Drosophila melanogaster: one gene and its partner. The protein of the gene in region 2 binds, or shares a complex with, the protein of the main gene of each other region. Each region holds a gene or a part of one and is shown on either strand. Other genes may lie near its edges. The genes, in order: Ilp5 and InR. A codon is read from its position in the direction of its gene.

Region 1 (2,891 bases), on a different chromosome or scaffold from region 2:
GGTTGTCACAATGTTTACACTTCCTTCAAATTAATCAACTAATTAAAGTTGAGGCCGACAGATGTGAGTGATTTTTTGCCAAATGTTCCCAGCTAAAAGGTCAATGTCGGATCTAATGAGGAATGGCTGACGTTCGTCTTAAATTGCCGAAAAAGCTTAAAGCTTGGCGATTATCTCTGGACTTTGTCGTCCATAAATTCTTTAAGGTCTTATCTCAGCAGGCACATTTTCTTAGCTTAAATATTTCTGTTTGTTATCTCGTTTTGTTGAGGCAAAACATTTCGTCCCAGATTAAGATGATGCGTTGAAAGCAAAACATTTCAAGCAAATTATAATTAAAGTTGAAAACTCTTTTTGCCAGCTTAAAGAAAATCGCCAGGCAAGCGAAAGGCATAGTTTTGTTTGTGTGCAAAATTTCCACCCAACTTGCTGCGATTTAAATCAAAATTTGATTTTCCTTCCGCTCAAAGGAGCATATTTTCGTATGGAAAAAAATAAACATTGTTATAATAGAATTTGGATATATCAAAGTGTGTTTAAAATTGTTCATATTGTTCTTTTGCTAACCATTTAGTGTATCTGTTCACTTTTAAAGGCTAAAATTATTATCGAAATATTTATAATATTTAATGTTTGAAGAAATTAAAAAGCGATGTTTCGAATTGCGCTTATTTATTGTAGTTTCAAGTTTCAAAGCCGTGCATATAGTTTATACTTAATACTTTTACGTAACATGTCTCATATATGTATGTATGTAAACTGATGGACCAGGTATCGCAGCATTTTTAGGAGTCGCAGTATGCCCTCAACGTGGAAAAGGAACACGATTTGCGGCAACAGGAGTCGACAACGCCGCGAAAATCGCGCCGAATGCTCGACAGTGAGTTCATGTGGTGAGATTCGGAGCTATCCAAATCCGCCAAGTGGTCCTCATAATCGAATAGGCCCACTGCAAGTAAAATAAGTGAGTTCGTGCCGTTTGGAAACCCCAAACCCCAAAAAAACGCAGCCGATACTCACAGGTGCCTCGTTTGGCGAACATTGAATTGAATCCATTGGGACAGGCAACCCTCAGCATGTCCATCAAGGCGGGGCCACAAGCCCGCAGCGAGTTTGCGGCCTGGGCGGATAGCAGGAGCGGGATCAGGAACAGGAGAACTGGGATCACGGAGCGGAACATCATTGCCTTGCTGGAACTGCTGCTGGATAGGATGTGGTGCAGTTTCCGCCGCTGTCAGCCATTTTTATATCCGCCGGCGCACTTTCACCTGTCAGATTGGATTAGTCTTTTGGGGTCAGCGTGGGCAGGAGCGTACTTGCTAATTTTCAATGTCAGGACATCGCAGGGTGCTATCATTAATTTATGCCCATGGATTAGCGTAACTTTCGCTTAATCGGATGCACCAAGGGGGTGGCGGAATCTATATATAATAGCTGAAATCAAAATGTATAACGATATATATGGTCTTTAGTTAGAAGGGCTTTCATTTTCAATATGTTTAATTGGCTTATCGTGCAAATAGTGCATACGATCATAAGTTTGTATTTCATGAAATATTTAAGTAATGTACTTATTGTATATCTAAGAAAGTAAAGTCGTATATTACATTTTTGCCTGTTCACATGTATAATTCTATAACATATACCAAAAGAACGCATGACAATCGAATACATGCCTGCGAGGAGAGCATATTTAAAAATAAATTTAAATTTGGCGCTAACTGCTTGCAAGCAGTCGAAGCAGTGCGCCAAACACACAAGCAGTATATACCGCGAAATTTAAAATTTTACCTCATACAATATACGATGTGCATTGATTCTTACTAATTGTATTGTATTTTTACGTTATTTTTAGGATTGAAGTCGACGATCAAATAACGAAGCCCCTGAACTTGGCCAACTCGGCCGTTCTGCGCGCCGTCGAAGAGGAAGAACAACAAGCCAAATGTGGTAAGATATACCTCTCTTTTTTGGATATTTGTCTATGCGCGTTTATTTTATGTTGCCTAGACAAAAAGAAACAGTGTAGAAACATACAACAAAACAGCAAACTCCAGTCCCAGTGCTCGTCCAATATTAGTGTTTTTTACAGATAAATTTAAATAAATTCAGGGGACTTCCCCCACAAAGATTTTTACCCCACTGAAAGGCAGAGTCGCCCGCGTCAACGAGGCGAGGTGGATGCACTGCATCACACGCTGCACCAGCAGCTTCTGAACCAGATCAAAACAGACTATCTCAGTCATCAGCAGGACATCACTATCGATCGGGACACGGTGCTGAAAATCAACCGTCTGGCCACCAAGAGGCATCTGCTCAAACGGGATCACAGCTGGCCTCCAGCTGAGCAGGATCAACCAACTATCAATCCCGAACAGAGCCATCAGATCTCCTGCAGCCCATCGCACAGTATTGAGGCTCTGAGGGAGAAGTTCCAGAGTCCCACCCTGGTTATCGAACCCACTGCCAATGAAGTGAGAGAGCAGCGACGACGCGATGGTGGCTCCAAAGAGAGATCAAAAACGCTCCAAAAGCACACCAAAGAACCTGACCTGGCGGAAGTTTTCCATCAAACTCCCATATCCAAGGGATTCTCCGCTCCAGAGACCAAGGCAGCCGATGTGGATTTGGGTTTGGTGGCTCCGCGATGTGAGTACTACGAGCAATTGGCCCACAAAAGGTCCGCCACACCAACTCTGCCCACTCAAATCACTCCATATAGGCCAAGATACAAGAGACAGGCTCATTCCCTGGATCGTAGCCGCTCCCGGAAACGTACAGTGGGTGCTCCGGAATTGCCGCCACCTAAGCCGAGAACTTCAAAGCCAAAAGTCCAACGGCGGTGCATAAAACTGGCCACTGAGGTAAAGATCTCATATGGCCACGACGGC
Region 2 (5,093 bases):
AGAGGGTGGAGAGGGAAAAGAAGCAAACGCAGCTGAAAAAAGTGCACACAAAATTGTTTGGCTGTGTGAATGTGTGTGTGTGTGTGCTGTTTCGCAGCGAAAAAGGTCAATGACACCTGTCTGTTTGTCTCGCTCGGCTCACACACACACACATACAGGCTTATCACCGGCCACTCTCTTTCGGCAATCGTGCCCTCTCTTTCTGGCCTGCGCGCAGCTACGTTTAGACATGTGGTCAGAGCATTTTTTTTGTTTTTTCTCGCTTTAAAAGGCATTCGTGTTGGTGGCGGCATGTGTGTTTTTGTTGTTCGTTTCGGCACTGTTAATTAGTGTGGCCAAATTATGCGCCAAAGCCGCCAACAACTCGATGGTCATACGTCATCAACAATAGCCGGACAAACAATTTCCGGTTTTTAGCCACACCATTAAAAAGCCAATATCAGAAATAACATGCACAAAAATAAAATAATAAAAATACAGAGAAACAAAAGCAGGCGCAACAACAACAAACTTGGCCCGGGTTCCGTCATTGCCTCATCCTCTATAGATCTCTTCTGTTCTTCTGCTTTATTTTGGTTCTATTTCAGCAATTTGTTATTGCGGCGACTTATTTTTGTCGCAGCACGCACACACACTCGCACTTATGCTCGCACACACACACACACACACACAAATGCACAGAGAGCAGGCAGGCAAACTCGATTTAAAAATAAATAAATTACGCACAAATACAAATACATTGGCCAACATTCTTCGGGCCTCGTCAAAAATATAGCATGATTAATACAAAAATGCGCAATTCTCTGGTGTTTTTTTTTTCTACTTCGGTTTTGCCTGTTGTTTTAACCCAACCTCCCAATTTTTTATGGCATTTCTCTCTTATTATACAATAATAACGCGAATATAATAAGAGCACAGCAAGTGGGCAGTTCAACGGCAACGCAAATAGCAACAACAAGCGCAGCGGCACGCCAATTAGTGCTTATGCTTTTTAATTAGCAAGCGGACCCATCCCCACATTTCCCCATTTTCCACCTTCCCGCCCACAAAACCACTTACCCGTAATATCTCCACGCCAGTTATTTGGGAAATATCTTCCCATTTATCACTATTTCAGTACACCCACAGACCCCCGATCTATTGATCTGCTTCCGTTGCGGATACAACACAAAATCAAAAGCCCGTAAATCGTGGGTGTATCTTTATCTCGTTCTTTTAAAGGGATATCCCACTTTTAATGTCAACTTAAGTCATTAAAGTCTCAACCTGCTTAAGTTGGCATTAAATAATTAATGTTTATAAAATGAAAACATTGTAGAAGCTCCAAACGTTTTTACAAAGTCTCCATTAAACTAAATTTAATGGATATCTTATACATATACCTTAAAGATAAAAAGAAACCCGATTTATAAGGTCACAGTTTGAGCAAATAGTTTGATCAACTTTTTGGGATTTGTTTTAGCAAGTGAGAGCTTTAAAATTGTACTGGATATATTTGGCTGGTTTACTCAGCATTTTGGTCACTCTAATTACGAGCTCCAAAATAAAATAAAAAACAGCACTGTCATGACTTTTTGACAACCGCTGAAAGTGTGGTGTCCACCATACATTAAAAAACAACACATTTTCCAAAGTATAACTTTAGAATTATAAAGGTTTGAAAATCATGACAAGTCAACAGGTGAGTTCAATTTTATTTTTGAAATATTAAATAAAAAATTGAGTTTTGCAGGTGGTCCTGAAGAGGGGGTGAGAGCAACATACATATTAAAGCGCCTTTTAAGGAAAAATGTATGGGTGTTTAATGGAAGTCGACTAAGACACTTCTTTGAAGTTTATTGTTTTGTTTTTTTTAATAATTTATACTAATTCTATAAATATTTAATAAAATTCTATTGAATAGCTCTTATTGACGCTTGTATGATTAATTTTAAAACTTACCAAGGACAATAAGGAGACAGTCTTTAGCAATAGTACTAAGTAATTTCATGAAATACTATTTTTAATAATAATGTTAGTTACTCTTTTAGTGCTGGCTTAATTTAATGCAATGGAAAACTTATCTGTACCACTTTTCAAAATGCGTGCAACAATAAAAAATAAACCAGCACAACAACAACAACAATAATAAAACAAAAACCGGCAGCAATCGAAATTCTTTCATTTCTTTTCCGCCTCTCTTCGCGCAGCCGCTCTCCGCACGACAGAGAGACAGAGAGAGAGAGAAAAAGAGAACAATGTTGGCTGCGCCGCTCATTCACAAAACGGAGACGTAAAGCGGTGTGCGAAGAAGAAGAACAACAACAGCCCAAGATATGATAGATATGGAACAACAACAAAAGGAACAAGAGGAACCGGGCGGAGAGAGGAGGAGGAGGAGAGCAAAAACAACTTGGCATAAATTGCTGCTGCGTAGTAATTTCACGAGTATTTTCCTAGTTACGTTCTCACTACTATTATTCATTTTATTATTATTTGTTGTTTTTGTTACATACCCCTTTGCAACGGTTTTGTTGTCGTGCATTGTTGATCTAGTTGTTGTTGTGTCACCTAATTTTTGATTTTTATTTCTATTTGTATTTTATTTTGGTATCGATTTCAAAATAGAACGACGCACTTTCCCAGACGCAGGCGTAATTAAATTTTCTTATGTTTTATTCGCGTGCTTTCTTTTTGCGCCGCAACTTCACAACATGCTGTGTATATATAAATAATAGGAGAGCGCGCGTGTGTGTGTGTATGTGTGTGTACACAAATTTTATTTATTTATTTACCGTGAATTTTACTCACACACCCGGACAAGCCGCACTCTCGCCAGCACACGAGAATCGCCCGCACTTGTATTTCGTGGAATTTCTTTAATTCGAACTCCACCGACCTCGCACTATTGCTCTGTATTTTGTATTTTCGCACTTTTCATTCACGAAATGCTGGGGCACATAATTTCGCCTTGCACAGTATTAGGTATCGGCAATTCACTGTGGCCTCTATTTGACAGCGATGATTTTCCGCACGACGAACACACTCACAATTCCAATTCACGGCGACCGCGGCAACGATCTCAACGTTTCGAAATCGCGTGAAACACTGCCAGCCGTTACCCTTGTTGTATACGCGATTTTCGGTTTAGCGCGTTTTCCAACTCTGTTCGGTCGTTTTCGAACTCTGTCTTTTGACCGCTTACAGAACTCTGTTAGTGCCGGCTGTTACACTAGCGCGCCACCTATAGCAGAGCTCTTCGTTTACCAACACGCCATGAAGCCCAATACTGAATCCTCGCGCACTAAAAACGGATATTCCATTTGTAAAAACTTTTATATGAGCATAATGTCATTAGCAAATATTACATTCTGGATCACTTTTTTTTCGAAAAATTTAGAAAATATAATAAAATAATGGCGCTATTATTGTGTCGATTTCTTAATGACATAGGAAATATTTTTATGTAATCATTGTCCAAGAGCATCTACTTTCCATGCAATCAAGCATAATCATTTCCTTGAACTCCCCGCCTAGGTGATAAATACTAACTAACTACAAATACTAGGAGCTGCTGTAAAACCAATTTAAACCAATTTTAAATATTTCGCTAGGATCTGCTTTTTGGGGTTTGGCTTTTAGAAACGCAAGTTTCAAGTTTAAAGATAGTGCGCCATACTTGAATATCGTAAATTGCAAGCAGTGCTACGTTTTACTGCTTTCCGAGTTGGCGGGCGCATTAAAATGCACTGCTTTCCCAGTTGGCGGGCGTTTTAAAACATGCAGACAAGTCTGCTAACTACTCATGGGTAAAATGATCAAAATCCAAGGAATGGATCACATATTTAAAATTCAACTTGGTGTTTAAAAAAATCTTTGAAAAGATGCATAAAACAGTACAGTCTTTATACTTTATTAAAAATAATTAATATAAAAAATAATATTTACCAAAAACATTCAAATGATGATTCAAAATTGCTTAGTTAAAAAAGAAGTTAGCAAAAAACACTTCTTGTGACCATGGCAAACTTCACCTTATTTAAATTCGGCTTGAAAAACTTAAATATTCAGTTTAATTGAAACAGTAGACATTCGGTTTTAAAAATTTATTTTGTTTATTTTAAAGTTTCCTTCGTTTTTGTAATATTTATTTTCTCTTTTTTTCATGTGTTTGTTTTTGGAAAGAAAGAAAAGTACCTAACAAGTGTGTTTTCTCTTATAAAAATTAAACGTACAATTATACAGTGGTTTCGGCTTGTTGCGGTTCTCCTTCGTTTATTTATTGATTTTTTTTTACAATTGTATGATTTGCATTTGTTTGTTGCTTTTATCTATCGTTTAGTTAAATATATAACTACTAGGAGAGAGTTTAAATAATTATTTATGTACTTGTAGTTGACTCTGTTAAGTGGTTGGTTGTTTGTTTTGTGGGATGATTTGGCTTCTATGAATAAACTGCTATTGGGCCCATGTGTGTGTTTACAGTTTAAATTTTATAACAATAACAAATTATGATACATAGTTATAGCTTTAATAATATTATAATTAAAAATCAATCGATAAATCCAAGCAAATGAAGAGAAGAGGATTCTGTTGCATGCGTCACTAAAACAGGAACCAAAGCCATCTTGTTGGGGGCCCAGGAGTGTTCTCTTCCTCTTCTACTACTGCTCCATATTAATTTGAAATGTCTTCGATATATTTTACAATTTGAAATTGATTTTCTTTTTATTGTTTAATGTTGATTGGCTTTACAACTATTTTGTTTTATAATTTAAAATTATATAAGTGTGTGTGTGTGTGTGTGTGTTGGTATTATTTTTACTAATTTACAGACAGTTCTAGCCCAAAAAGTTGTTTGATAAGAGGGAAGTATTCGCATTTTTTGTGTGTTATCCAATCGTTTAAATAGTATTCCTGATTCTTTTTGCTTTCTTTTAAAGGCTAAAATTAAAATTTGCTTATAAAATGTGGCTCTTCTTGCTACGACTTCTCCCTATTTCTCTCGTGAGGCTGAGTTTTTGTAAAGTAGATTTTGTGTTTTCGTTTTGTTTCGCTTAAATTAGTTTGGGTTATAAATTTAAATGTATATATTTTTACGCTTAAAATTGTAC

Evidence for each region.
Region 1: the proteins of InR (region 2) and Ilp5 are in contact, whole or in part, in a cryo-EM structure (PDB 8CLS), measured with the Drosophila melanogaster proteins. Residues at the interface, in NP_001138093.1 of Drosophila melanogaster: Ser341, Met342, Asp343, Arg345, Phe363, Leu365, Asp367, Leu368, Tyr392, Arg393, Phe603; in NP_996037.2 of Drosophila melanogaster: Pro31 (codon at 1,093), Met34 (codon at 1,084), Arg38 (codon at 1,072), Gly44 (codon at 1,054), Phe45 (codon at 1,051), Asn46 (codon at 1,048), Ser47 (codon at 1,045), Met48 (codon at 1,042), Phe49 (codon at 1,039).

The regions. Positions count from the first base shown.
Region 1 is NT_037436.4:9,822,691-9,825,581, forward strand, and holds Ilp5 (Insulin-like peptide 5), read right to left. Parts: upstream 1,208-2,891; 5' UTR 1,184-1,207; coding exon 1,021-1,183; intron 950-1,020; coding exon 786-949; 3' UTR 659-785; downstream 1-658. Other genes in the region: CG43897 (uncharacterized protein), read left to right, coding at 1,856-1,950, 2,113-2,891.
Region 2 is NT_033777.3:21,616,232-21,621,324, forward strand, and holds the start of InR (Insulin-like receptor), read right to left. Parts: upstream 3,091-5,093; 5' UTR 2,791-3,090; exon of another isoform or gene 2,496-2,790; intron 1-2,495. UniProt on the Drosophila melanogaster protein: Has a ligand-stimulated tyrosine-protein kinase activity. Binds 3 insulin-like peptide ligands.